Diceros bicornis minor: one gene and its partner. The protein of the gene in region 1 interacts with the protein of each later gene in a pairwise test. Links are inferred from orthologs where the notes say so. Each region holds a gene or a part of one and is shown on either strand. Other genes may lie near its edges. The genes, in order: TSGA10 and CDC73.

Evidence for each region.
Region 2: the proteins of TSGA10 (region 1) and CDC73 interact in binary tests that used the Homo sapiens proteins (3 or more experiments, as listed by UniProt). The two-hybrid records come from large-scale screens. The link is inferred for Diceros bicornis minor from reciprocal best matches to the Homo sapiens genes TSGA10 and CDC73.

The regions. Positions count from the first base shown.
Region 1 is NC_080779.1:14,242,749-14,246,659, forward strand, and holds the start of TSGA10 (testis-specific gene 10 protein), read left to right. Parts: upstream 1-1,022; 5' UTR 1,023-1,030; coding exon 1,031-1,087; intron 1,088-3,911. UniProt on the Homo sapiens protein: Plays a role in spermatogenesis. When overexpressed, prevents nuclear localization of HIF1A.
Region 2 is NC_080777.1:22,529,852-22,533,762, forward strand, and holds the start of CDC73 (parafibromin), read left to right. Parts: upstream 1-1,140; 5' UTR 1,141-1,490; coding exon 1,491-1,621; intron 1,622-3,911.

The DNA of each region.
Region 1 (3,911 bases):
AGTGAGGTTGTATAACCTTTCCTTTTTAACTACTACCAGCTTATGTGGAGAGGGGACTGGGAGGACTGGCATGTGGAGAAAGAATACTGGTCAGGAATCTGCGCTTTCATTGCTCGTTCTGCCACTTTGCTATTCAATCCTGACTGGATGGTGCAGGGCTGACCGGGGCCCTGGGTCCGCAGGCTCCCCAGACTGCAGGCTGCCGGCGCTCACTCCAGCAGGCCGGCTCTCTCCCCACAGGCTACAGCAGCAGGACCCGACCTGGGAGGCTCCCCGCAAACCCTCCCCTGGCTGCGGCAGGAGAGCGCACCAACCTCCCAGCGCCCAGGAGCAGCTCTGAGGAGTAACGAGTTTACTGAACGTGGGTCCAGAATGGGGCCCGATCCCTGGGAAAAGCGGCACAAAGCCGCGGCAGCGAAGCATCAGGCGTTCCAGAGCCGAGGGAAGGCAGCCAGGGGCGATACACCCCTGCGCATGCGCGTTCTATCCAGGTGTGGCAGCCACCGGCAGGGAGTAAGAAAAAAGTCATGGAAAACGCGGCTGGCGGCTGGTTACTAGGAGACGGGACGCTCGGGTGGGGCGACTGGGCGCTGCGTGGGCGTGCGCCTGCGCGGCGTGGATGGACCGGGAAGAGGCCTCTCCACGGCGCCCTGTACGGCGGACAGGTGGACGTACGACTCGCTACGTACGTGGGTGCGCGCGCACGGCTTTTAGTCGCCGCGAGAGGCAGGGTCGAGCCAGGTACGCGTGCGCACGGGGACTGGGGGCGCGCAGGAAGGAAGCGGAGCGGAGGCGCCGGGGAGGTGGAGGACGAGCCCCCTCAGGTACAGAGCGTGAGGGCGGGGCCGACGGCGGCGCCGGCCGGCGCTAACCGCCCCCGCCTCCTTCCCGCCAGGTCCCGCCTTCCTCCGCCTCCACCGGGGAGGGGTCAGCTCGATTTGGGGGTGGAAAGAAAAGGGAAAGGGGCGGAGGATGATGACGGGGAGGGACCTGGATCCCAGGCTGAGGCCGAGGTCTGGCGGTCGCCGGGATGAGCTCCAGGGAGGACGGCGGGCCGAGAAGTCCCGGGAGGGACCCAGAGCTCCAGGTAGAGGCAGCGGGGCTGCGCCGGGTTGGGGTAAAGCAGCTCCTGGGCCAGAAGGCCTCAGACGGGGCGGCTGCAAGAGGGCGAGCGTGGCGGGGGTTGGGGGCTGTGGGTGACCCCCGAGGTGGGTATTCGCTGCTTGAGCCGCTGTGAGGGGCAGTAGCCGGCAGAGTTGCGGTCCGGAGGAGCCCTCCAGGAGCAAACTTTGCCCCTGTTGTTTCTTGGGAGCTTAGGGTTGATCCCAGTTCCTATGGTGACCGCTTCGCATCCTGCCGCAGCTCTCCGCTTGGTTGTTGGGGGGAGTATTCTGTTTAGAAACGCTCTGGAGTGGAGCTGAGGAATTTGGAAGTCAGAAATTTGGGAGTTCAACCTGGCTCTTCCTGACTCCCCACCTCTCACTTCTAAACCTCTTTATAGACTTTGGGAGGTGAAGGGCTGAGATTACGTAGGTATTTGCATGAAAATCTCGTATAATTTCAATAGAAATTATACACAAGAAAGGCAGGGCTGGCTTTTATTTGAAAAAGATATTTGAGACTTTAAATAACCAAGCAGCGATCATGGACCTGATACCCAAATACGAATAGAAATACATTTTTTTTTCTTTAAATAAAATCAGACATCGCGGCTTCAGGAAAAGTTTGCGTAGATGTCAGTGTCCTAGGGTTTTCCTTCTTCCAGTCTAGGCCCTTATATCTCAGGATATTTGTTGTTTTAAATTTCCTCTACTGGTTTTCAGCACTTTTTTTTTTTTTTACCTGTAAAGAAATAAATGACAATCGGTTTGTAACTAGAAGAAAATCGATTAGTTATGAAATATAAAGGTGTCATGTCGTTCAAATCTGCCTTCAGGGTAAAACTAATTCTCGTTTGGATTTTAACTGATCAGTGAACTAAACCCTTCAGTCTTAATTAGTGGGAAATAACTAGGAAGGTACATTAATGAAATATTTATTTTAAACAATAAGATTTGACCTTGTTTAATAGCAGCTTCCAAAATATTATTGTTTTTTGTTTATTATTTTGTTTACCTCCTGAAAAAAAGCACTGCTTATTGCCCAGCATATAATCAGATGTAGAGATTCTCTGGGCTTTCTGTCTTCTTTTGCAGTTGCTTAGATCACCTTGTTTTAGGATAATTTGTTTTTAGAGTACTCCATATACAGAGGCACTTAAAGCAGGTGTTACTATTCATTCCCTTTTCCAGTTACTCACCCCTTCCCCCCAGATGTAGCCACTATTCTGATTCTATGATAGCCACTTCCTTGCTTTTCCTTATAGTTTTGGTATCTTTGTATGTAAGCAAGCACATTCTAGTTTGGCTTGTTTTTGAACTTTATGTAAATGGAATTGTACCACTTATTCCTTTACATTTTGCTTCTTTACTCCATATTATGTTTTTAAGATTTATCTTTGTTGCTTGTTGTTTAGTGTTACATTATAAGAGTATACCACAATTTATCTACTCAACTGTTGGTGGACATTAAGGTTTTTACAGTTTTTGGTAAATAGGAACAACACTGCTGTAAACTTTCTTATACATGTACTCCATGATAATCTTTTGAAGTGAGCTAGTTAGTAAGGTAGTTCTATTTGTCTTAGTTATGCTGTTAACAACAGTCTATATATTACTAAATTCTTTTAGTTCATAAAAGCCTCTTGAAAACAACTCTTTAACCTCTTCTTATAGTTCCAAGAGGTCCTGATAAATGATACCTCTCCAAAGGCCATTGGAGTTTTTGTTTTTTATAATGATTTAATTGAGGTCATATTGGCTTACAACATTGTGTAAATTTCAGGTGTACATAACTATATTTCAGTTTCTGTATAGACTGCATCATGTTCACCACCAACAGTCCAGTTTTTATCTGTCACCATACATGTGTGCCCCTTTACCCCTTTTGCCCTCCTCTAACCCCCTTCTCCTCTGGTAATCTGTTTTCCTTATCTATATGTTTGTTTGTTTATCTTCCACATGTGAGTGAAATCATATGGTATTTGTCTTTCTCTGTGTGACTTATTTTGCTTCGCATAATACCCTCAAAGTCCATCCATGTTGTTGCAAATGGCACAATTTTGTCTTTTTTATGGCTGAGTAGTAGTCCATTGTATATATATAGCATATCTTTATCCATTCATCCATTGATGGGACTTGGGTTGCTTCCACATCTTGGCTATTGTGAATAATGGTGCAATGAACATAGGGGTGCATGTATCTTTTGGAATTATTGATTTCATGTTCTTTGGATAAATACCCGGTAGTGGGATAGCTGGATAATATGGTATTTCTAGTTTTAATTTTTTGAGAAATCTCCATACTGTTTTCCATAGTGGCTGCACCAATTTGCATTCCCACTAGCAGTGTATGAGAGTTCCCTTTTCTCCACATCTTCTCTAACACTTATTTCTTGTCTTGTTAGTTATAACCATTCTGATGAGCATGAGGTGACATCTCATTGTAGTTTTGATTTACGTTTCCCTAATAATTAGTGATATTGAACATCTTTTCATGTGCCTATTGGCCATCTGTATATCTTCTTTGGAAAAATGTTCATTTCTTCTGCCCATTTTTTTGATTGGTTTGTTCATTTTTTTGTTGTTGAGTTGTAGGGATTCTTTATATATTTTGGAAATTAACCCCTTATCGGATATATGATTTACAAATATTTTCTCCCAGTTGGTGGGTTGTCTTTTTGTTTTGTTGATAGTATCCTTGGCTTTGCAGTAGCTTTTAGTCTGTTGTAGTCCCATTTGTTTATTTTGTCTTTTGTTTCCCTTGCTAAGGCCATTGTTTTATGCTCCTTTAAAAAGACAAGTTATTTCTTTA
Region 2 (3,911 bases), on another chromosome or scaffold:
GTAAGTTGTTTATAGTATGTGCATTTGGGGTGAAGTTCAGGAAAATACTATAGGGATGGGAACATTTGCAGAATAGACAAAATTTCTCAAATTCAGTTGCAAAATGGCTATAGATAGTATAGAATATGAACCACACTTCGATATCTATATCCCTATATCTGTAGCGCACATAACCACAATTTGATTCCTTTCAAAGCACGTCAAGGAATTCAGTTATGTCAATCACAAGTTGCCTTTTTTTCTTTTCTGCTACAGTAAAAGGAATAAAAAAAAGTATGGGTCCCACGGGATATGTTTGATTTAAAGTATACAGGCCACAGAATATTGAATTTATTTTGTTTCCAGCACAGCAAGGACCCCCTCGAGTCTTCTGAGTGCCAGTAAAAAATCAAGTAATCCAAATCCAATCCAAATTCTAATTTGGACATTTTGGGCTGTGTTCTCTAACTTTCCCATCAGCATCCTGGAAGAGAGCCATTTAAATGTAGTCCTTTTTGCAGCTGGCAGGGAGGAGAACGGGCCAGAATGGAAAAAGTCATCATCTAAAGAATTGAACGGGCAGAGCCATCATTTATGATACTTGGATGATTTGCTAGACTCTTTCAACTTACTCTCATCCTAACTCCATTTTCTCCATTAACCAACTGATGCTGTGAGAAGGTATGTAACTTGACGGAGGTCAAACAGCCGCTAACAAATCTCGGTGCCCTAGACTGACCTCCGCTGGACTCTGTCTTTTCCACTATGTGAATCCACCAAAAACAAAAAACCTCCAAACCAAACCTTCCCCCCAAACCTCCCCCTTCTAGAGGGGCTTAATCGGCTCGCTAAGACCTGGAGGCCATTTGCTAGGCTTGGGTCCGATCCAGATGGGAAGGGAATCTCAGTGTGCTGCACATCTTTTGCCAAACTCCACCCTGGCCCAAGCTGGGACGCGAGAGCCCCGGGCCGCCCTCAAGGCGCGTCCTGGAGCCCCCAGCGCGCACTCTAGGAACAGACGCACTGGCCTTCCGTGCAGGTGCGCGCGCACCTGTCGCCCGCCGCATGCGCGCCGCGGGGCAGGAGGTGCGCGCCCGGCGCGCGTGCGCCCGGCAGTGCTCCCGTACGTGCGCCGCCCGTGGGCGCCGTGTCTCCGCGCTCCGAGCTCCGCGCCGGGAGTCGGCCCCGTACCGAGTGCGGGCTGGGCGGGGCGTGTTCCGGGGCGCTCGCGGCTCCCCCTGGCGGCGGCCGGGCGGCGCTGGCGGCGCGCAGTCAGGCGTTCTCCGCGGGCAGCCGGCGGCGGGGCCTCGCCGTCAGCGCGGGGTCCTCGGCGGCCTGGGTGGTTGCGGCCGCGGCTGCTGGCGTAGACGAGGGCGGCTGCTGGCGCGGCGGCTGGTGCTCGCGGCGGCGGCGGCGGCGGCGGAGGGAGAGGGCGCGGCGGCGCGGGACGAGGGAGGCCGGCGCGGCGGCGGCGGCGCCCGGGGCCGGCGGCGGCGGCGCGGGGGGGGAAGATGGCGGACGTGCTGAGCGTCCTGCGACAGTACAACATCCAGAAGAAGGAGATCGTGGTGAAGGGAGACGAAGTCATCTTCGGCGAGTTCTCCTGGCCCAAGAACGTGAAGACCAACTATGTGGTCTGGGGGTGAGTCCGGCCGGGCGGTGGCCGGGGGGCGGCAGGGCGGAGCGGGGCGCCCCGGGCGACCTGTTTCCCAGCCCCTCCCCCCGTTTCCCGTGGGGACGGGGAAAAACGGGTGCTCTGGGTGGAAGTTCTTCTCTGGAGCAGAAGTTAGACTGGCAGGTGAGGAGGGCCCGGCGGGCGGCGTCCGGAGTGCTCCATGTTTTAGGTCCTGGGGACGCCGCAGGGAGGGCAGCGGGGCAGTGGGTGCCTTTCCCGGATCGTCTCCCCCGGCGGGTGAAGGTGCGCGAAGGAGCGCCCGTCCCGCCCCCCGCGCCTCTCCCTGTGCTTCAGTCTTTCCTCTCTGCCCGAGGCTGCGTGTGTTGTAACTCTCTCTGCTGGCCCTTGCGGCTCCCGGTCTGTCTCTCCTCTCCTTTCGTGATTCGCTCCCGAAGAGAGAAGGGAACCGACTCGGTGAAGTTAGGACGGGAGAGGGGTCTGGTCACTTAGGGCGAGTCACCCGAATCTGTGCTCGAGGCGAAGGCAGGAGTGTCCGCAGGGAGCAAGTTACTGTGAAGGGCAGTGGGCTTTACAGAGCGTGGTATGCGATTTGGGGAAATGTTTTGAAGAGAAGTGTTTTGGAACGTTGATCCACGTGGGGCTTTCTGAATTTGTCTTTAAGGAAAACGTCTAGAGAGAGGCCTGGTTGATCATCGTTTGCGGGTCTTTTCAGTGATGTTTCTTTCCGTTGATGTTTTTTTCTGGGAGTAATTAGGACCTTGAACCAGAACTTCCATACCCATTTTGTTTGATTGAATGGGAGCAGTGGGCTTTATGAAGAGTTGGTGAAAAGCTAGGGGAGATTTAGTTTGTTGGTTGGTTTTTAGTTTTTGTTTTTTGGCCTGGAGGGGTTATGGTTTAATTAGCTTTATGAAATGTTGATGAAATGACATCATTCTGAGTTTCCTGTGTTTTGTCCTTCTAAAAGAATTTGCAAAGCAGAATTATATTTGATTGGAGTTTTAACTGTGTGTGTGTGTGTTTTTTTTCTTTAAAAAGTGGTTAAGGAGTACTCAGGGTGTAGGGCAGCTCAATCTGAGAAATAGAAAAAATTGTTTCTTAGTACTCTGATCCCTTACTCAGAGGAGGTTAACTTAATCAGAATAGAGGAGATAAAACCTAACTTGATATGAATTGCAGTCCAGCTCTTAACAGCTCTTAAGAAAAGAGCAGTCACTTCTAGCTTGGATATGAGGTAAGGTTTCATAGAAGTGTTTGGCATGTAGAGATGCTGCAGATTTTTCTTGAATAAATGAATGAACAAATGAATAAGCTTTAAAGAATGGGTAGGAATTCTGAGGGTGAAATGGTGGGTTAGATCTTCCAGGACCGGGGAACTGAGTGCTTTTAAAGGCATGAGAGCTGGAAAGGAAATGTTTTGACAGCAATTCAGTGAAGCCAGGAGTGAAAAAGGAATGCTTAGAATAGTAGATTTCAAACTTTTACAACAGTGAATCACAGCAACAAATACATTTTCATTTACCATTCATCTCTGTGTGCACGTGTAACTGTGTACACATTTGTTACTTTAAACAGTACTTACCCTTATTGCATGCAAGGCAGTCTATTATTTTGTTTTTCTATATCATGAAAAAACCCTGGTTGTTACCCATATGTTAGATTTCAGAGTACAATAATTGGTAGTGATGTGTGATTTGAAATATGTTGATCTAGAGGAAAAGTGGAAATAGAGGCTAGAAAAGTAGGTTTGGGGCTGATTATACTGGGCCGTATTCAGATGAATTCAAGTAATACATTGACATTTGTAGATGGGGAGAATGTAGTAGGCGGGGTGGGATTGGACGCTAACATTTGTTGTGCTTGTGTTAAAGAGCTTGCACCCTGAGACTACATTGTTTTATCACAGGTAGAATTCATTTTGGTTTTATATCATTGGTTTAATTTAATTTAATTTAATGAAGCATGTCATAAGAATTACACCTGTGAATTGGTTGTGTTTACTGTAAGAATGTTGTTAGGGATGTTGTTCAGCAGTGTCTTACTTAGGAGACAGGATACATTTCTTGTAAGTTTAGTAGCAGTAGTAGCAGTGCTTCTCCTCATCAGTTTGATTGTTTTCTCTTATGGATCCTCTCCAGTCTGTAACTGATTAGGTTTTCTCTCTGTTGACAAAGCCCAGAACCTAATTTGGGCCAAGTTCTAAAAGGTGTGTAGTACCTCAGAGTATGAATATGGTGTGCTTTCCCTAAGTCTTGCTCTGGTTATTGTCTGCCTTTGTGTTCCTTTTGCCCTAATG